Macaca fascicularis: one gene and its partners. The protein of the gene in region 3 binds, or shares a complex with, the protein of the main gene of each other region. Links are inferred from orthologs where the notes say so. Each region holds a gene or a part of one and is shown on either strand. Other genes may lie near its edges. The genes, in order: AHI1, TMEM107 and TMEM67.

What was found.
Region 1: TMEM67 (region 3) and AHI1 share a complex: the UniProt entries of both Homo sapiens proteins name them as parts of the tectonic-like complex. The link is inferred for Macaca fascicularis from reciprocal best matches to the Homo sapiens genes TMEM67 and AHI1.
Region 2: TMEM67 (region 3) and TMEM107 share a complex: the UniProt entries of both Homo sapiens proteins name them as parts of the tectonic-like complex. The link is inferred for Macaca fascicularis from reciprocal best matches to the Homo sapiens genes TMEM67 and TMEM107.

What each region holds. Positions count from the first base shown.
Region 1 is NC_088378.1:39,535,398-39,542,647, reverse strand, and holds the start of AHI1 (jouberin), read left to right. Parts: upstream 1-2,642; 5' UTR 2,643-2,825; intron 2,826-3,158; 5' UTR 3,159-3,220; intron 3,221-4,696; 5' UTR 4,697-5,087; intron 5,088-6,749; exon of another isoform or gene 6,750-6,816; intron 6,817-6,993; exon of another isoform or gene 6,994-7,121; intron 7,122-7,250. UniProt on the Homo sapiens protein: Involved in vesicle trafficking and required for ciliogenesis, formation of primary non-motile cilium, and recruitment of RAB8A to the basal body of primary cilium.
Region 2 is NC_088390.1:8,259,197-8,266,322, forward strand, and holds TMEM107 (transmembrane protein 107), read right to left. Parts: upstream 5,021-7,126; 5' UTR 4,896-5,020; coding exon 4,809-4,895; intron 4,633-4,808; coding exon 4,565-4,632; intron 4,482-4,564; coding exon 4,363-4,481; intron 3,523-4,362; exon of another isoform or gene 3,424-3,522; intron 3,257-3,423; coding exon 3,160-3,256; intron 2,915-3,159; coding exon 2,845-2,914; 3' UTR 2,643-2,844; downstream 1-2,642. UniProt on the Homo sapiens protein: Plays a role in cilia formation and embryonic patterning. Requires for normal Sonic hedgehog (Shh) signaling in the neural tube and acts in combination with GLI2 and GLI3 to pattern ventral and intermediate neuronal cell types.
Region 3 is NC_088382.1:103,402,185-103,409,668, forward strand, and holds the start of TMEM67 (meckelin), read left to right. Parts: upstream 1-3,327; 5' UTR 3,328-3,343; coding exon 3,344-3,536; intron 3,537-4,173; coding exon 4,174-4,262; intron 4,263-6,819; coding exon 6,820-6,913; intron 6,914-7,484. UniProt on the Homo sapiens protein: Required for ciliary structure and function. Part of the tectonic-like complex which is required for tissue-specific ciliogenesis and may regulate ciliary membrane composition.

The DNA of each region.
Region 1 (7,250 bases), on a different chromosome or scaffold from region 3:
AATCCAACATCACCACAAAGGTCATTGTGGAATTCCTCCTCTCTCAATTTGTAACTTCCTTCTCTGTCAGTGAGAAACCTGGCTCCCATTAGACCCAACATATTTATTTCCTCACTCTCCTTTCATGCTTGCCACCTCTTTACTTGCCAAGGGGAAGGCGAAACAGCTGGTCATCGTTTTTTATTATTTCTTATCATTCATTCTTCCATCCAATTAATCACTAAGTCCTGACATTTTTACCTCCTAAAAATTTCTCGAACTGATCCATTTCTCTCCATTCTGATTTTTCTTAGCCTTGACCATACCACCTTTGTCTCTTACATGGCTTACAGCAACGCCATCTTAAATGGTATTCCCGGATCTAGATTTGCTTCCTTCCTGTCTGTTCTCCACCCTGCAGTCAGTGTTATCTTTATGATATTAAAATTTGAGAATTTCACTCCATAAAATTCTACAGTGGTATTGCATTGACCAATACTGTCTGGGTCTCTTCACGGCCTGTTTAACTATCTTGTTTTGTTTCCTCCAAAAGACCCTAGACTCATTCTCTACCTTTTAGTTAGCCAACTTGAACTTTTTTTTTTTTTTTTTAGTTCTGTATTATACCAAACTTTCTTTTAGTGAACACTATACGCCACCTTCTTCTACCTGGAAACCCTTCCTAACCTGGACAACTCTACACATTATTTTGGTTTTTGCTTAAATGTCACTTCTGCTACAAAATATTCCCTGACCTCCCCACCCCACTGCACCTCTGCATGCTAAGAAGCAAGAGATGATAACAGGGTTACACATCCGCAAGTCTGGGAATCGTATTCTGAAACTAAAACCCTACTAAGAATGAGCAGCCAGAGTCATAACTTCCCTTTGGAAAAGCGGGTACTTAAATGCAGTTGTGAGGACAAATGAAAACTACATAAAACACCTACAATGCATAGCTCCTAGAAGGAGCTCAATATATGTTATCCATTATTCATTCAACAAATGTTCATGAAATGCCAACTATTTCATAGATACTGTGGTAGATACTGGGGATAGAAAAAATACAATGTAAACTATGAAAATATAGAATGAGTATGTAAAGTCTAATATACGGAATGAATATCCAAAATCTAATAAGGAGTAGGAGTATTTGAAGGAGTCAGTCAACCTGCTTAAGATTCGAAGGATGGACAACATTTGACTGTGATATGCAGTAGTGTAAAAGGAGGAATTTTCAGGAAGAGAGAACAATATGTGTAAGGACAGGGCGTGCAAGGCTATGGATTGTTTTTCATAGTACACATAATTCAATGTTGCACAAAACTGCATGATACACATGATTCAATATTGCATAAAATTGGAACAATAAGCTAACGAGAGATGAAATTAGTCAGGGAGATGGAGCATCTTGTATCCTAGGCAAAGCAATCATTTTCTCTTACACGTTGCCTTTCAAGAATTTTCAGCAAGAGAGAGCCATTATCCGATTTACATTTTTAGTCAGGACATTCTGATAGCAGTGTGGGGAATTTTAAGAGTCAAAACTGGAGTCACAGGACTGGTAAAGCGCCCACCTGAGGAATTTAAAAAGAGAGAATGAATATGCTTTGGTATAAGATGCATTTAGGATACTCTACAGTTCTTACTAAAACACTGGGAGCAAGTGTTTGACACTTGATAGTGCAAGATTACAGCAAGATAGTGGTGGCTTACAGCAAGATAGAAATCTAGGAGAGTAGGTTTAGAATGCAAAGTTGAACAGCTCAGTTTGGTACACAGCGGATTAGTAATCTTTCTCGTTGCTTCCTCAAAGGATTTAGGGAAGCACATGGCATAGAGATATAGTTTGTAAGGTGTGGCAATGCCAGTGAGAATGGAAAAGCTGGCCTCCGTAAACTCTCTCTCTGTACAAACGAAGCAACAGGTTACAGCGCGTGGCTGTAGGTACAGGAAATGGCGTGTATTCATGAGTCCACGAGTAGCGCAACTAGTATTTTTCCAGCCCTGGTGACTCAGAGCTGAAGATGGCGCCTGCGGCAGAAATCAGAAAAGTGGGAGGGAGCATTAGGTACAGAAAAGTATGGCGTTTTAACTTTTGTTTTCCACACACAGGGAGATAGCTCTAAAGGAATCGTGCATAATTTTTTCTTAAGATTTTGTCTGTAGTACAACTTCATTTTCCACGCTTTAAAATCATGTTTTCTTTTGTGGGCGCGACCGCGTGGGGAGTGACAAATCTGTTTCTTTGCCTCATTCATTGATTTTCTTATTTTGGGCGACTTCCATAACAGCCTCCCCAGTTTTCCTTTGCCCCGTCAGTTTTTCCCTGCGCTTGCTACAATTCTAAGGCGGAAAGAGTATTTTTGGAGGTGAGGGCGGGGAAGACTCAAGCTCTGTGGGAGCACCCGCGCATTTCCGACTCCCTTCCCGCTCGCACGGCCTCGGAGGCTGGAGGCCGGTAAGGTCCCCGAAGCGCGCGCCCACCAACAGCCTGAGGGCCCCGGTGCAGGCGCCGCGCGGCCCCTTCTCCCGGGCTGAGGCGAAGGCGGTGGCGGCGCGGGGACGGGGGCGGGGGCGGGGCCGCGGTCCGGGCCTAGCGCGCGAGACGCGTCGGTCGCCATGGGAACGGCGGTGTAGGCAGGCGCTGACGTCAGCAGGCCGCGAGTCGTCCGCACTGCGGCACAGAGCAGTGGCTTGCTCTCCGAACCCGGGTCGCTGGCGGGTAAGGTGGCTTCGTGGCCGCCTCACTTAGCGCCCGCGCCGCTGGGCGCGGGGGAGTCGATTTGCACTGTTCCGGGTGTCGGCTTGGGCGGGACGGACGGTTCTGCCTACTCCTCCTCTCCGTAAGTACCTCGTGGGTTCGCTGGTGGCGGGAGCGCGGGCCGGGGTGCTGGGCCTGCCCGGCCCTCTCCGGGGCGGCGTGTCGGGGCTGCTGGAGTCCGAGAGCGCGGGGGCTGATCGCGGATTGACCGGGGAGCGTGGGCCGGGTGTCCCGGAGGAATGCGATTTCCCGGAGTCCTCAACGTACTTTTCCGCTTCTTTCACTGGTCTCGGTGTCTCCGGAGAGTTGAGCATGGTGTTCTGATAGGGAATTCAATCTTTGCCTTTCCTACTCCCGATTCTTGTTTAAATGCTTTTAAATCAGATGCGTACTGAGTGTGTTTATTTCCTTTTAGAGTGTCATCCTGGGGCTGAATCTTCAACCTGTCAAAGCCTACTTAATTACGTCTGAGAAAAGGTGATCAATTTGTTAAACTTATAAGAGCCAGATTATATTAATAGGGTTGTTTCGAGATGCATAAAAATAGAATAAAAATGTAGACCATTTAAGCATCCTTATCAAAGGTTGTGCTGCGTTTGGCATTCCTGTGAAAACATCTAATGTGAAAATAAAGTTTTTCCCTTTTGAGAAAGAGATGCCAACAGTTTTTTCACCTGTTGCATTAGCAGTTACTGTTATTGCTTGGGTTAGGAGGAAGATTGCTTCTTATGAGTACTCTGGGAAATTTTTTAAAGAATGCTTGAAAAAATTAAAATACCAAAAGTGTTATTAAACCATACTTAGAATCTTGTTTATGAAGAATAATATTTATGAAGTTAGAATCTTGTGTACTTATGAAGAATCTTGTTGATCTATTCATTGAATTTTGTGTACAGGATTTTTGTTTGTCTTTTTTTCCCTTGCGATAACATTTGGTTAAAGAGGGAATTATCAAGCCTCTCAATTTTTTCTCCCATTGATATTGAGTCACATATTGGCTGATAATCAGGTGGTCTGTAAAATAAAATGAGATGAGGTGTAATCCATTTAATTTTCCTACATAGTATCTCTTAGAAGCTCCTGTGAAAGGGTTTGTGAGGGAGAAGTTGTAAAATAATGGAATATATAAGATTCGGAGGTGTCTTTTAAAGTCCGACCTGAATTTTCGCAGATAATGTTACTAATTAAATATTAGTCATTAATTCTATCATATGTTTGCTGTAGTACACATTAAGATTTAGAGATGGCTGGGCACAGTGGATCAGGCCTGTAATCCTAGCACTTTGGGAGGATCAAGAGTGGGTGGATCACTTGAGGTCAGGAGTTCAGTATCCGCCTGGCTAATGTTGGTGAAAACCCATCTCTACTAAAAATACAACAATTAGCCGGGCGTGGTGGCGCACACCTGTAGTCCCAGCTGCTAGGGAGGTTGAGGCAGGGGAATTGCTTGAACCCAGGAGGCGGAGGCAGCAGTGAGCTGAGATTGTGCCACTGCACTCCAACCTGGGCAACAGAGCAAGACTTTGTCTCCAAAAAAAAAAAAAATTAGAGATTATTTCTATAATGTATTTGCTGTGTTATTAAATAATATTAGTATTTATTCAGTTGTGTATTAAGCTATTAACAGTAAATAATTCTATGATTTCTGTATTTTATTAATAATTACTTATTTTTAATACAATAATACTGGACATAAAGTAATTTTATTGCAGTGTACTCATTACTTTGCTTTTTGGTATTTTCTCCTTGCAGTACTAAAACAGGTGCCATTTTAAATTCCCAGACAAGGAAAAACCAAGGATTAGAAATTAAGTAGCTTACCCAATGCCACACATCAGTAAGTGGTGACACTGGAGGTCAAACCTGAGTCTTTTTTACTCTAGGACCGTTGCTACTGCTTCGCTTTGCTTTGCTTCTCGTGTTTTCTCTTCTCTCTCCTCTTTTCTTTCATAGTGCCAGATACATAACTATAGAGAGCATTGGCGTGGCCTCCAAAGCTAGCAGTTTGGTGGGAGACAGAACATTTAACCAGGATGAAAATTCAGGGCTGAGGTAGAGGGAGTTACAAAGATTCAGGCATCCTGGGAGCACAGAAGAGAAGTGCTTCACTGCCCTTCAAGGTGCGAATGCTCTCTAGAGAAGATACTTGCCTTCAAAGGATAATGAGGAGTTTGTTAGAGTGACAAAGGAGGAAGGACATTTTTCAGGAGAGGGGATATATGTGTAATGATACAAAAGCAAGAGAGGACGTGGCACATGTGAAGGCCTGGAGGTAGTTTCACATGGCTGGAACACAGCGTATGGTGTGAAGGGGACATTTCATAAATGGCCTTGGACCTCAATGGTAAGGACTTGATATTTTTTTCAGTGTGTGATTGGGAGCTAGGGAAGAATTTTAAGCAAAGAAATGACACCGTCACATTTGAATTTTAGAAAATTACACTGATTGCTGTATAGATGATGATTTATTTTTTAAAAGGGTAAGGTGATAGTGGCATGGAAACAATCTTAAAACAAACAGCATAATCCTTCCACAGTGTTTTTGTCCCAGAGTTACTGTCTCATGTCACTGCCTTTAGGGGTGGTGGAAAGACAGTTGGAAGAATTCTGTAAAGAATTGTCTACATGTCCCTTCTACAGGGGTCACCTTCCATTCACCCCTCAGCCCCAGCCTGCTAGGTTTCTGCCCCTCCATAAACAGCTTTGACACACGTGACTTCCTTCTTGCAGATTCAGTGGACTTTCTTCAAAACCTCCAGCCCCTTTTGATGCCACACAGTATATAGGCTACATCTCCTTTAAAACTCTTTCCTTCTGTAATGCTTCTGTCTCCCAGTTTTTTACCTGTCTCCCTGATTTTACTTTATATTGTGGGCTCTCAGGATTCTCATTGGCTTTTTATTTTCTTGCAACTATCATATTTATAAATAACTCCCAAATCTTCAGCCTAGGGTCTCCCTGCTGGATTAATAGATTGCCTAATAAACATAATATGATTATATACATAAACACAGACACACACATGTGACAGTAATAACAATTGTTCTTTTTGAAGGGTTTGCCATGTGCTAGGCATTGTGCCAAGTATTTTACTTGCATGTTCTCATTTAATCTTTGTAAAAACACTGAGTGATTTATTATTGTGAAAGATTAGGAAACTGATGTCCCTAGAGATGAATCTGCTGGCAGGTAGAACTGGTATTTGGATCCAAGGATCTGACAATGGAAGCTGATGCTTGTAGCTGCTCAGTGCCCTTCAGATACCCAACTCAACATGACCCACACTAAGCTTAGTGACTGCACCCTAGCAAGTACCTGTTATAATTATAGCTAACATTTATTGTTGCTGCTTCTGTCTGAGATACTGTTGTAAATCATTTAACCCTTACAACAACCCTTTGAGTCGGCACTGGTAGAGTGTTTTTACAGATGAGGAAGCAAAAGTCACACAAGTGACTATGGAAACTAATTCTAGGACATGGATTTTAAACTACTCTCCTGTACTGCATTATATTACAGTTTAATGGTACTACTAACCTACTATTCTAGTTCTAGAAACATGGGAATCACCTCCGATTCTTTCTCCTGCCTCTTCATTAGTTATTTAATCTTTCCAAAATATTATCTGACTCCCATCACCCAGGCTGGAGCACACTGGTGCAGTCTCGGCTCACTGCAACCTCCACATCCCAGGTTCAAGCGGTTCTCCTGCCTCAGCCTCCCCAGTAGCTCCACACCTAACTAGTTTTTGTATTTTTAGTAGAGATGGGGTTTTACCATGTTGGCCAGACAGGACTCAAACTCCTGATCTCAAGTGATCTGCCTGCCTCATCCTCCCAAAGTATTGGGATTACAGGCATGAATCACCATGCCCAGCAGGCTTTTTTTTTGATGAATCATAGTCATAATATTGTTCAGCTTTTTCCCTGCCTATTAGATGACCGTCAAGTAGTATAAATATTAAATTTTTGTTTGTTTTATGATTTTTCTACTTACATGCTCTCAGGGATGCTGTCATTGTGCTTGCCTTTGCAGCTTCTCTTTCTAATTTGATATAGACTAGAAAGTAGAAGGTGAGTTATTAGGTTCATAACTGCTAGAAGGAGTAAATACAGGCTCCTATCACTAAAGTATAGGAGTTTTTACTCCATGGATTTAGTGATGTCTGTTTTGTTTGGGTACCACATGGTCGTTCCCTAAATTAACTGACGTAGTTAGGTATGTTTACATAATCATTCCTTTCTTTTTAGAATTTCTTAGACATTTCTGCAAGAGGAACATGAATGTGGATCTCCAGGGAATTGGAGCATTAACCAATAATACCTTGGGCCCAGTGTGGTGGCTCACACCTGTAATCCCAACACTTTGGCAGGCCGAGGTGGGCAGATCACATGAGGTCAGAAGTTCAAGACCAGCCTGGCCAACATGGTGAAACCCTGTCTCTACTAAAAATACAAAAATTAGTTGGGTGTGGTGGCACACACCTGTAATCCCAGCTACTTGGGAG
Region 2 (7,126 bases), on a different chromosome or scaffold from region 3:
ATAGCATTTCCCCACCGCCTGGTAGAAGTTGCAGATGCAGGAGAATTCTGCTGCACATACGAATATCTACCACAGAAAATTAGCAAGCAGGTTCAAAACGGTTCATGCAGCCTTGATGAAGTCCCTGAACCCTGCAGGAAAAGGTCACCTGAGGCAGACACAGCAATCCCCCAGACACAAACTTGCTACTCACATAAAAAGTATGAGTGTGGCCGGGCGCGGTGTAATCCCAGCACTTTGGAAGGCCGAGGCAGGTGGATCACAAGGTCAGGAGTTCGAGACCAGCCTGGCCAACATGGCGAAACCCCATCTCTGCTAAAAATACAAAATTTAGGAGGGTGCAGGGGCTGGCACTTGTAATCCCAGCTACTCGGGAGGCTGAGGCAGGAGAATCGCTTGAACCAGGGAGGCGGAGGTTGCAGATCGCGCCACTGCACCCCAGCCTGGGCGACAGAACAAGACTCCATCTCAAAAAAAAAAAAAAAAAATTATGAGTGTGGATGAGGGAACTGAGGCAGAGAGAGGGCAAGTGACCTCCTGATAAGAGAAAAAACCGCACTGGGACCCCGGCAGGCAGTCTGGCTGCAGAGGTTATTCCTATAGTCCTGGCCCTGGGCTAGGGCTCACATAAGCGAGCTGAGATCTGGAAACCAGCAGCATCTAGTTGATGTTTGAAAACAAGAGATGGATGAAGTGACCCGAGGAGTAGTGATCACCAGCAATTTTGGGGCAAGCAGAGGAGACAACCCAGTATTATGTCCCCAGTAACTGACACACTGCAGGTACTCTAAGTATTCATTGAATGAACGTAAAAAGGAACAACCAGAACAGTACAGTAGTAGGCAAACCAGGGGAACCACTGTTTCAAAACTAAGGGAGAAAAAAGTGCAAAAGAGAGGAGTGGGCCAAATGCGGTGGCTCATGCCTGTAATCCTAGCACTTTCGGAGGCCTAGTGGGGAGGATGGCTTGAGCCCAGGAGTTTGGAACCAGCCTGGGCAACACAGTGAGACCCTGTCTCTATAGAAAATGTTAAAACTTAACCAGGTGTGGTGGTGCTCACATATAGTCCCAGCTACTTGGGAGGCTGAGGCAGGAGGATCATCTGAGCCTGGGAGTTCGAGGCTGCAGTGAGCTATGATCCCACCACTGCACACTACACTCTAGCCTGGGCAGCAGAGTAAGACTGTCTAAAAAAAAAAAAAAAAAAAAAAGAGGGGGTGGTCAACGTACCATATGCTGAAGAGAGGTCAAACTCAAACTCAAGTCTGAAAAGTGACTCTGGATTTGGGAAGCAGAAGTCATTGGCGATGATCAGTTTCTTGGGGGTGTACTGGTAGATTTTTAACAACCAACTCTCCAAAAACAAATGTATCCATGTATATACATAAGTGTATGATAAATTGTACTGGTATAAAGTATGGATAGCACAAAATTTACAAATAAAAAGGCCAGACGTGGTGGCTCACGCCTGTAATTCCAGCACTTTGGGAGGCTGATCACCTGAGGGCGATCATCAGGGCAGATCACCTGAGGTCAGGAGTTCAAGACCAGGCTGGCCCACATGGTGAAACCCAGTCTCTACTAAAAATACAAAAAATAGCCGGGCATCGTGGCACCTGCCTATAATCCCAGCTACTTGGGAGGCTGAGGCAGGATAATCTCCTGAACCTGGGAGGCAGAGGTTACAGTGAGCCGAGATCAGTGCAGTGCACTCCAGCCCTGGCGACAGACCAAGACCCTGCCTCAAAAACAAAACAAAACAAAACAAAACAAAAAAAAAACCCGTTCCTATTGAATGAGTATCATCCATCCTGTGCACTAGATTACAGATTTTTACTGATGTGCAGTGTTTCCTGAGAAGAGGTGAAGCGTCAAAGTATCAAACGACAAAGAACAACGGGAGTCCATTTGCACAATCCTACCTCCTAAGTCCCAGTAAGCAACAAATACAACTCACAATTTTCAAAACCAGATAAAATTTGGCGAGATCACAAAATAGCGAAATACAGAAACTATTCCCTGCACCGCATGATAACTACATTAACTAAACTTACAATCAACATAACAGAAACGTAAGTGATCGTCAGGAAGAATCAGATAGGAGCAATCAGGGTGTTGCAAGTCCTGATTACGCAGAGACGTTAATCACGTTTCATGCATTCTCCAATCATCATGTTCTCATCTGCCCTCCAAAAGAGGAACAGGTAAGGATTATCCCACCTGACGATATTTCTAAAGAGCCGACATTCCGCACTCAGTCAAAAAGATTCCGTTTACAGCTAGGGTGAGTTCACGACGCGTTGGTATGAGTAACCCTACTACTTAGCATCCTTCCAGTTGTATTGCCATATTTGCTTGCACATTTTTAAAAGAATTTTTTCATTCGGCTGCCGAAAAGGAATACATTTCTTTTTCCCAGAATGCTCCGATCATTTACGTGCTGGACGTTCTAACTGTAAGCACTTTCTATTTACATATCTCCGCCCACTCCCTTCCGCCAGACAACTACCGTAATAACCAAAATAGAAGCGATACCAAGTATCTTACGGTCTGCAGAACTAGAAAATAACGTTGCTTCTTTTTTTTTCTTCAGTAGTTTCGCCATCTCAATTGTGCCTTGAAAACTGTATATGTCTTAATCTTACTACAAAACATATTTTATTACAAACCACTAAATACAATGCGGATAATCCCAGACTCAAGACGTAATTATTCCAACACATATCCTCCAGCAGAAGCAGTTTCCGAGGGGAGGACCGAAGCCTATGCCTTCCTTCTTCCAGGAATACGAAGCGGCCCTTGCCCCTGTAGCCTTCGTCCTTAGGTTCCCGTCATGAAGGTGCTCAGAAAGGTTTCTTTTTCAGCCCAAAGACGGTGACGAATAAAGTCATTTCAGTGACAGCTGGAAGGGCACTACCGAGGCAAGTGGTAAATTCAGAAACCCTTTCAATATAAATACCCAAATCTCCAAACCAGAGACCCCACCCCTGAAAGTGTAGGACAGGTGGCATGGGGTAGGGAATGAAAATTCAAAAGACTACAGGATGTTAAGTGGATCTGGTATCTCACACATAGAGGAAAGGGCTGGGTGGGGGAAAAACCCTCAGGTTTAGGGTCAGCCTTCCTCCCTCATTCCCGAATATTGGATGCTACCACACCTGCAGAAGACAAAAATGTACCAATACGTAGTGCACTCCCAACGCTCGAATATGAAGAAGGACAGGGCCACGGATGCACTACAGTGAGCCCCAATGGCTTGGGAAGGCACCAGAGTTAAGGAAAGTCTTTGGATCGACAGATAGTGAGGGGTCAGAAAAGGCCAAAGGCCAGTGGTGGGGTTGGCATCTGCATTCAGGTTCATCGTTTGCTCCCTCACCATATTGCAAGGGCTAGAGTCAGCATCCCCGACTTCTGAATTTTAGGACAGTCATGTGAGGAGAGACCAGAAGTGACTGCGCAGATGGGATCTCAGGCTACCCTACTCCATATCTAGGGGCCAGCCTGGATCCTTCAGATGAGAGGTAAGAGTAGGCTCTCCTGCTATGCCACACAGGAGTGCTGACAGCGACTTGATATGCGCTGGAATCAGCCTCCAGTGTCCTGGTCCTCCTGGTCCACAATTCTCTGACCCATGTGCCTGGCTTCCGTTGCCTCTTCTGAGTTCCCAATGTGCTTTATATCTTTCGTTTTTTGCCAGAGTCTTGCTCTGTCGCCCAGGCTGGAGTGCAGTGGCACGATCTCAGCTCACTGCAACCTCTGCCTCCTGGGTTCAAGCAATTCTCCTTCCTCAGCCTCCTGAGTAGCTGGGATTACAGGAGTGCACCGCCACGCCCGACTAATTTCTGTATTTTTAGTACAGACAGGGTTTCACTATGTTGGTCAGGCTGGTCTTGAACTCCTGACCTCAGGTGATCCACCTGCCTCGGTCTCCCAAAGTGCTGGCATTACAGGCATGAGCCATCGCACCCTGCCTGTGCTATCTTTACACACTCCCATAGCACACTGCTTATCACACTGAATTACAGATGTGTATCTACCTCCTCCTCATGGTTAAAAAAAAAAAAAGTGGAGTTTTTATTATTACTATTTATTTTGTAGACACGGGGTCTAACTATGTTGCCTCCTGCGCGGGCCTCCCACAGTGCTGGGATTACAGACGTGAGCCAACGTGCCTGGCCAAAAACTGTATTTTACTCTCATTTCGGAATTTTAAGTGCCTAGTAAACAGCAGGATTTAGCACATGGTTGAAGATCTTTGAACTGGAGAGACTGGCTACAGCAGACACTATTGTGTCAGGTGGCTGAAGGGAGTCCTGATAGAAATGGGTCGTGTGGGAAAGGTGGGCAGGCAGAAAGGATACAGATGAGGCTCTGGGTGCTGTTGAACATGGAGACTCCTGAGAGGAAACCGGCCAGCTCCACTGCAAAGAGGCCCAGGGTGACAGAAAGCGCGGCCACCAGCCTGCAGAGAGGAAGTGGACTGGCTCAGGCCTTTGGACTTCTTCTAAGACCCCTCCACTCCCACCACCTCTTCGTTCTGGCCACCCCGTCCTAAGAGCTCACTGAATGTCCTGCTTGTCATACTCCTCGGGGGTGAACCTGAGAGGCAGGCAGGCCTGAATGTTGCTGTCCTGGGAGCAGGGCAGAGAGGAAGAGAAGTGAAAAAGGGGCAGGCTGCTGGGCAGGCCTAGGGACGGCGGAACACGAGAAAACCCAAGTGGGTAAGACACTGGGAGAGGGGCAGGGTGGGGCGGGGACGACTCCGAGATGGGAATGGGGGCGGACGGAGGGCAGCCGTGGGTCTTACCCGGGACCAGAATAAGGTGATGACGACCACCAGATGCGCCAGGATCGTCAGGAAGCGAGAGGGCACAAGCCCTGAGACCCGGCCCATGGCCCTTGGGAACAAGAGCGGCGGTCTCTGAGGCTGGAAGTTCAGAGACTGCGACTCCCGCAAGTCCACCAGCAAGCGGACAAATCTAGACGAACTCCTCCTTTCCGCCAGCTCAGGCACCGCCCAGTTGCCTTGGTAACCGCGTACGCGGGCGTGCTGCCGCGTTCTCGGAAAACCTCGCGAGAGCAGTACATTCTCCATCTGCTGTGGGTCTTTCAGGGCTAACTCAGGTCAGGGGTACCCGAAGGAGCTTCTAACCCAATGGCTGGGTACCCGTGCGCAGCCAGGCCCTTTGTTTCTCAGAGGGTGAGGGGTGGCACAGCCGCGCAGCGCCCGATCTGCCCACGCAGGGCCGACGAACGGAAACCCACCCTGGCCTAGCCTGGGGACACCTCTGCTTCCGCGGTTGCCCACGCCGGGAGCGGCCCCCAGCCCCAGCTACGCTGCCCAGTTGTGGATCACTTGAGATCACTCCCACCGCCACGCCGGGCTGAGGTCCCCGCCATGCCGAAGACTCACACCCGCTCCCCTTCCTCCTCTCCTCATGCCTTTAACTTCCCACCAAGCTGGGCCTGAGAAACAAGGGACCCGAACGTGGAGAGGCCGGTGTTCCTGGACTGCTCGGCAGTTACAGATTGTCACAGAGCCCCTGGTTGTCTGAGGACCCTAGGCCTGAACCTTCCTTGAGGAAGACTGATTTCTCTCAGACTACTTTGCTCAGTTTGGTGAAGGATTTGCAGAGTGCAAAAAGTGGTCCGCGTCCTTAAACTAGCGTGGGAATAAGAGCAAAGCAAGGTGGCTGGAAAGGTGGGAGTGGACGAAGGGAATGGTACAGTCCCTGCGTCTCTGGGAGGCTTGGAGCCTACGGGAAGGGAAACTCAACTTAGATTTCTTTATCTCTTGGAGGTGCTGGACCTCCGACATTGCCCAGCTACAGTCCAGGAAGCTCTTATCACCGGCGACGTCATGACCTTTGGGCCTCAGCGCAGGTCCCTGCAGATCTGAAAGTTCTTCTCTAATTGCTCAGTCAAGTCCCATCCTCAAGGAAACTCCCGGCCCATTTCCCAGGAGAACAATATCTTCCTACTTCCCACTCGACGTCTCAGTGCCTTTAGCCAGACTAAAGTACAAGCCCAAGAGGCATTTCTCATTCCTTCAACAAATATTTTTATATATTTATTTATTACCTAGTAATAGTATTCTAGTCAGGGAGATCAACAACAGACATGCAAACAAATAAATCCGTAAGATAATAGGTGCTACAAACAGGGATACGCGGGCCAGGCACAGTGGCTCACGCCTGTAATCCCAGCGCTTTGGGAGGCCCAGGAGGGCGGATCATCTGAGGTCAGGAGTTCGAGACAAGCCTGACCAACATGCTGAAACCCCATCTCCACTAAAAATACAAAATTAGCCGGATGTGGTGGCGCGTGCCTGTAATCCCAGCTACTCGATTACTACTACTCGATTAGCTACTAAGGCAGTGGAATCGCTTGAACCCGGGAGGTGGAGGTTGCAGTGAGCCGTGCCATTGCACTCCAGCCTCTGCAACAAGAGCACAACTCCGTCTCAAAAAAAAAAAAAAAAAAAAAAAAGGAAACGCTAGAATTATAATTCTATAAAAGTAGGGCATTTATAATTCTATAAAAATAGGGCATTTATTCTTAAACTTTATTTTAGAAACTTTGGCCAGAAATTGACCGGGAGTGGTGGTTCGCGCATATAATCCCCGCACTTTGGGAGACCGAGGCAGGGAGATCACCTGAGGGCAGGAGTTTCAGACCAGCCTGGCCAACATGGTGAAACCCCATCTCTACTGAAAAAAAAAAAAAAGCCGGGTATGGTGGCGCGCGCCTGTAATCCCAGCTATTCAGGAGGCTGAGGGAAGGAGAATTGCTTGAACTCGGGAGGCGGAGGTTGCAGTGAGCCAAGATCGTGCCACTGCACTCCCGCCTGGGAAACAGAGCAAGACTTAGTCTCAAAAAAAAAAAAAAGGAAGAAAAAGAAAATGCACTCTGGGACCAGAAGCGAAAGCTCATGCCTGTAATCCCAGCACTTTAGGAGGCCAAGGCGGAAGTATTCCTTGAACCCAAGAGTTTGAAGCCAGTCTGAGCAACATAGTGAGACACCTCTCTCTAATAAAACAATAATAAAGGCCTGGAGTGGTGGCTCACGCCTGTAATCCCAGCACTTTGGGAGGCAGAGGCGGGCAGGTCACCTGAGGTCAGGAG
Region 3 (7,484 bases):
CGAACTTGTCACAGAACAAACTTCAAAATTAGGGTTCAGCCTGAGTGGCCATGTAGGTTCTCAGCTTCGTGCAGGAAGGAATTCAAGAGCAATCTGACAGAATAAAGTGAAAGCAAGTTTGTTAAGAAAGTAAAGGAATAAAGAGTGGCTATTTCATAGGCAGAGCAATGGTATGGGCTGCTAGACTGAGTATATTTATGGTTATTCCTTGATCATATGCTAAACAAGGGATGGATTATTCATGAGTTTTCCAGGAAAAAGGTGGAGAGTTCCTGGAACAGAGTGTCCTCCCTTGTTAGACCATATAGGGTAACTTCTCTAAGTGGGCATGGCATGGGCAAACTGTCATGGTGCTGGTGGGAGTGTCTTTTAGCATGCTAATACATTATAATTAGCATATAATGAACAGTGAGGATGACCAGAGGTCGCTTTGGTCACCATCTTGGTTTTAGCAGGTTTCAGTCCTCTTCTTTACCTATCCTGTTTTATCAGCCAGGTCTTTATGACCTTATCCTGTGAAATCGGTCCTGCCAACCTCCTATCTCAAACTAACACAGGAAAGAAAATAAAATACTGTGTGTTCTCACTTATAAGTTGGAGCTAAACATTGGGTACAGATGGACACAAAGAAGGGAACAATAGATACTGGGTGCTACTCGAGGATGCAGGGTGAAAGGAGAGTACAGATCAAAAAACTACCTATTGGGTACTATGCTTATCACATGGGTAAGGAAATAATCTGTACCCCAAGCCCCCGAGACACTCAATTTACCTGTATAACAAACCTGCACATGTACTTCTGAACCTAAATTAAAGTTTAAAACAACAACAACAACAAACTGAAGAAAAGTATGGGCTCTGGTGTCAAATTAACAGGGTTAGAACCATGAATTAAGTGTGACCTTAGAGAGTCACTTATACTTTCAAAGCCTTGGTTATTTCATGTAAATTAAAGGTGATGATAACAGTCCCAATTTAGGATCAAATGAGATATTGCAATACCGGACACATTAAAAGTGTCTCCATGGGACTAGCCCAAACTGGGCCTACCCTGTTGATAACAAAATATCGTGTTACCTTTTAGATATAACAGAGCCAAAAACTGCAAGTCATGTAGCCCAGGCGTGTACAATAGAAAAAGCTTGGACCTCTAACAACACCCAAAACCAATGAATCCTTTCCTTGGAACCAAGAAGACCAGGACGTGACTGGAACCTGAACTTGGAACTCTTTCAAAAGTGATGGGTCCATTTGACTGGAGGATCGGGCCTAAAATCGGCCTCTACATACCTTTTTCTAAATGGTCAAATTTAAATCCTCCAATCAGCCTGCCAGGACACATTCATAAATCCTTTCCCTTGGCTTTCCAAGCCCATGAGTTTACCCCAGACGCCAAATCAGGGAGACAGATTTGAATGCACTCCTATATCCTTGCTGAATAGTTGTGCAAATAAAGCCTTTTTTTCCTCAAAAGCTTGTGCCACATAGTATTAGCTTCTGTGCGCACATTGGATACAGAGCTCATTTGCTTGATAACAAAAACAAGCTATTAATACCTATTATTTCTATTATTATTCACCCCCAGCGCCCCACCATGTTAAATATTCCTATAACTTTCATTTCTACCTTAAAATTTTATTTATCCAATAAGTTTTCGCTTAGAAGCTATCTGCCACAGGTATCTTCCTTTAATATCACAACCATCTACCCAGCCACCCAAATCAGAAACCTGTAAGTTATCCTTGATTCTGTTTCTTTACTTCCTATGTCCAAATCATAAAATTCTCATAATTCTTCTTCCTGAATAGCTCCTTTATTCATCCTCTCCTGCCTCTCCTTTCCTCCATGGCTCCAATTTAGACTCTAGATTTCTACCTTAGCCTCGCAAGTGGTCTCTAACTCTAAAAGTTTCCATATATTTGTCCAAGTTTGTTTTTTTTTTTTTTTTTTTTTTTTTTTTTTTTTTTTTTTTTGATACAGGGTCTCTGACATCCAGGCTGGAGTGCAGTGGCATGATCACAGCTTATTGCAGCCTTTGGGCTCATTGACCTCCTGGGCTGAAATGGTTCTCCCGCCTCAGCCTTCCAAGTAGCCGGGACCATAGGCATGTGCCACCCACCCAGCTAATTAAAATAAATTTTATTCGTAGAGATGGAGTCCCACTATGTTGCCCAGGCTGGTCTTGAATTCCTGGGCTCAGACAATCCTTCTGCGGTGGCCTCCCAAAATGTTAGGGTTAGAGGCGTGAGCCACAGCACCAGGCTTAGATTCTTTTATTCACAAGAGGTGTAAAGGTGATCTCATTTTATATACATGTCAACTAAAGAAAAAAATAAGGCTTTTAAAGACTCAAAGTTAGTTTTATTTGGAGTCTTACTGAGGAATGCAACACTGGGGAGTCGTTCAAAGAGTTTATGTTATACTGCTCCAAAGCAGCGGTTCTGCCCACAGTTTCTATTATCAAGGGATGGAGCTCTGCATGTGCTCAAAAGTTACACTAAACATGCTCAGAAGTTACACTGGAGCAAAATCTCATCAAAGTTTTGGTTGGAGAGTACATCTGATTATAGGTTACAGAGGCATAATCTTTAATCCTGTCAGACGTTATCTTACGTACAGAAAGAGGCAAGAGCTAGGATCACTGAACGTGTTTTTTTAGAAAATGAAGTGATTCAAGCAACAGTTGTGGAAACCTGTGCTCTATCCTCTTACTGTCTTCAGGGCATTCTTCTGGAGGACTGTGTTCAGTCACTGAATCAGGGGCTTTGTGAAATTCCGCTGGCAACAGAATGAGCAAACATGGTTTCTTCCGTTTCCTACTTTGTCTCACATACATGATTTCCTATGCTCAGACCTGGCAGGAAAAATTTTTTATTTTTCAGTGCTTAAGCTATAGTAATCCTTCACTAGGTTTTAAGTCAGTGGGTTTTTTTGACATCAAATTGTTAAACTACAAGTCACGTTTCCTTTAACGTGAAAATTACCTAGTCTGAATAAATTCTGATGTAAATATAACTCGACAAATTATGATATTTTCAACTTACGATGGGTTTATTGAGGGGAGGAGGCAGCCCTATCGTAAGTAGAGGAACTCTATACACTTTTGAAAATACCGCTGGGCTTCAGGGTTAGCCGGCCTCTAACCTACTCTTTACTGGACCTGCCAACTTCGCGCAGGGTTGGTAACCTAGCAACCAAGCAACACCAGCAGTGACTTCCGGTACCCAGACTTGGGTTGTCCAATCAGCTCAGCGGAGCTGCCGCAGAGGCTGATGGGGGACTGACGCCTGTGAGGCTGCCAGCGTCGGTACCATGGCGACGCGCGGTGGGGGCTGAGGTGGCAATGGCGGCTTGGTACCTCTTATCTGCCCGGGCCGTGACCGTGTTCCTCCTGTTGTCCCTCCCTCGCTTCTTACAGGCCCAGACCTTCTCTTTCCCTTTCCAGCAGCCAGAGAAGTGCGACAACAACCAGTACTTTGATATCTCCGCGCTCTCCTGTGTTCCGTGTGGAGTTAACCAGAGGCAGGATGCCCGAGGTAAGACGGTTTGAGGTGGGCCCTGGCAAAAGTAACACTCCCGCCTTGGTCGATCCCTAGTCCCTGGAGATGGAGTTTCATCATGTTGATCAGGCTAGTCTCGAACTTCTGACCTCAGGTGATCCACCCGCCTCCGCCTCCCAAAGTGCTGGGATTACAGGCGTGAGCCACCGCGCCTGGCCCGAATACATATATATTGTTTAGTGACGTAGAAATGTAAAATTTCCAGCAGCAGTTAAGTAGTTTAATAGTTTAGTTATACTTGCGCTTAAAATGGTAGCAACACAATACCAGCTGTGTGTGACAGTCTAAGACCTTTATGTATAATAACTGATTTTATACTCATACTAATACTATGAGGTAGGTACCGATTTTTTTTCTCCTTTTTATTGTAGAGGAAGCCAAGGCAGAGAGTTTAGTAACTTGTTCAAGGTCATGCAACCGAGTAGGAGTACTAAGATTGGAACTCAAGAAGTATGTTTCTGGATTTGAACCCGGCAGTACTGGCTCCAGAATCCTGCTGTTAATCACTATACTGCTTCTCAAGATCTTCAGACTTATTAAAAGTTTCACTATCTTGGAACTTTATTTTTATTTATCAAGGATAAAGTTGGCTTTTTTTTTTTTTTTTTTTTAGGAACTTCATGTGTATGTCTACCAGGATTTCAGATGATCTCTAATAATGGAGGACCTGCTGTTATTTGTAAAAAGTGCCCAGAAAACATGGTATGCATAATTTATTTTAAAATAACTTAACTGTAAAAGTAATAAGTTAAATATCTTTATTTTTCAAACTATAATGTAATGTTTAATGTTTCCCCACAAACTTTAAAATTACTATGCTAACTTTATTTTTACTAGAGTAAGTTTTGGGAAATCAGCGAAATTTTATGCAAACTTGGAGAAAACAGAAATGTATTTCTTTTAAAATCTGAAATCCCAAAAACCACAAAGCTGTAAAAATTTAAGTTTTTGTTTTTACTCATAGAATAACTCGATTATGAAGAAAATTAGATGAATAAGGAATATATAGAGCAGTTTGGGATGTGTGCAATTTGGGATGTGTATATTCTTTGACTGATGCAAATGGAGTTGTCTTAAACCTATCATGTCAACAGTTTATATGATGATTGATGTTCATAATGATATCTGAGGTGTAATTATTTCATGAAATACCAATTGCATTAATAAATAGGTTAAATAATGTCTGTTTCTGTTTTGTTAGTAATTTCATTATATCGTAATTTTTGAAAAATTAGTAGTTACTGTATATGATAATTCTCAATTAACAAATATATTTTTCAATCATGTTGGATAATTAAAAGTCTGTGTAACAGTCTGACATTTACAGTAATGTTTCTTCTCGTTGTCATATAAAAAATATTAATTCTGGGAATTTAATCTGAAGTTATCAATTGTCCTGATTTACAGCTATCTGTATTACTTGTAGGTGTGATTACCATTTTTTATATTACCATTTATTTTACATCTTTATAATAGATTACCATTTATTTTATATCTTTGCAGATGTTGATCCTACCTGAATTACCCATGATAAAATGCTGCTAAGCATTTTGTTTTTCAGTGACATTTTTTAAGTTATTGTAATCTTTAAATTGTCCTATATAGGCCGGGCATGGTGGCTCATGCCTGTAATCCCCGCAATTTGGGAGGCTGAGGCTGGTGGATCATGAGCTCGGGAGACCAGCCTGGCCAATATGGTGAAACCCTATCTCTACTAAAAATACAAAAATAAGCTGGGCATGGTGGCGTGTACCTGTAGTCCCAGCTGCTTGGGAGGCTGAGACAGGAGAATCACTTGAACCCAGGAGGCGGAGGTTACAGTGAGCCAAGATCGCACCATTGCACTCCAGCCTGGGTGACAAAGTGAGACTCTGTCTCAAAAAATAAATAAATAAATAAATAAATAAATAGTCCTATATAAATGTATTGCAAAATAGGAGTATTTCTTGATAAATTCAGTCTTTTCAACCAAAATTTAAAATAATTTGTGGCATTATTTTTGTTCTTTATGAACTTTGGGTACAACTGTGTTTGTAATTATTGTGTTTGTTGCCCCAGGCTTTTCCTAAACCATATAATATAATAAGCCCAATTTTGAATGCTGTCATACTTTATCAAAAACCTTTACCAGGCTGAGTGCAGTGGCTCATGCCTGTAATCCCAGCACTTTGAGAGGCCGAGGCAGGCGAATCACGAGGTCAGGAGATCAAGACCATCCTGGCAAACGTGGTGAAACCCCATGTCTACTAAAAATACAAAAATTAGCTGGACATGGTGGCATGTGCCTGTAGTCCCAGCTACTCGGGAGACTGAGGCAGGAGAATCCCTTGAACCCGGGAGGTGGAGCTTGCAGTGAGCCGAGATCGTGCCACTGCACTCCAGCCTGGTGACAGAGCGAAGACTGTCTCAAAAAAAAAAAAAAAGTGTACTAGTACAAGCCATAAATGGATAGAAGAAAATATTCTCATAAATCAATTTCAACAACTGTGTATAATTTATATTTCATAAAATTTACCCATTTTGAATCATAAATGAATTTTTTTTTTTTTTTTTGAGACAGAGTATTACTGTTGCCCAGGCTAGAGTACAGTGGCGTGATCTCAGCTCACTGCAACCTCCACCTTTCTGGTTCAAGCCATTCTGGTGCCTCAGCCTCCCAAGTAGGATTATAGGCATACACCACCACACCCAGCTAATTTTTGTATTTTTAGTAGAGACGAGGTTTCACCACGTTGGCCAGGCTAGCCTCAAACTTTTGGCCTCAAGTGATCCAACCACCTTGACTTCCCAAAGTGCTGAAATTACAGATGTGAGCCACCGTGCGTGGACTAAATTTTTTATGTATTTGAATTTTTTAAAATTAGAATAATGTTTTAGAATAGGTGAGATTAACCTATTAACTGACTATTGATTCAATCTTTTTGTGTTGTGTTGTGTTTTATATTTGTAAACAGAAAAAGTAAATGACAAATAATTATGAAAGTAGGCATCCATTTGAATTAAAGATCCTGAAGAAGAGAGAACTATTATCCACAGTTAATCCTTTAATAGTTGTCAGGACATAGTAATAATATAGAGCTTAATTTTGGAATATAAGCATGAATTATCTCTCCAGGGAATTTTTATGTGGCTCATATATGTATGATTTATTTGAATATTCACTGCAGTTACATACTCTTATGGCATTTTGAACTTACATGATTATGAAGAAGAAAGTTAATTAAAAAAGAGAAAAGCTTTTTTTTTTCTTTTAATTTAGAAAGGTGTTACAGAAGATGGCTGGAACTGCATTTCTTGCCCTAGTGGCTTAACTGCCGAAGGAAAATGCCACTGTCCCGCTGGCCATATTTTAGGTAAGAATTAGATTCCTTACAAAGAAGTAGTGATAAATCTTCATTTGTGTTTTTGTTTTTTGTTTTTTGAAAAGGGCATTAATTTAAATAGTTAAATGATTACTTAATATTTTTGTAGTGGTTCAAGCAATCCTCCTACCTCAGCTTCCTGAGTAGCTAGGACTGCACACATACACCACTGCAGCTGGCTAATTTTTAAATTTTTTGTAGAGACTGGGTCTTGTTATGTTGCCTAGCCTGGTCTTGAACTCCTGGCCTCGAGAGATCTTCCTGCCTCACCTCCTAAAGTGCTGGGATTATAGGCATCAGTCACTGTGTCCAGCCCTTAATAGTGTTTATAAAAATTATTTTTGTACAAATTTAGTGATACTTAAGACATCAGCAGGCATTGAGAAGAAAATACAGAGTTTTGTCTGAGTTTTTTGAAACTCTTAATTGTGTAGGATTAGATGGTTACTTCTTTAACATAACATGATAAAATATGTATGTCTCAACTCAAAAACCAAGTTGATGCTTAATAGGCAAAAAGTGTAAGCATTCCTATTAATGTCAGGACCTGGAAAAGGGTGCA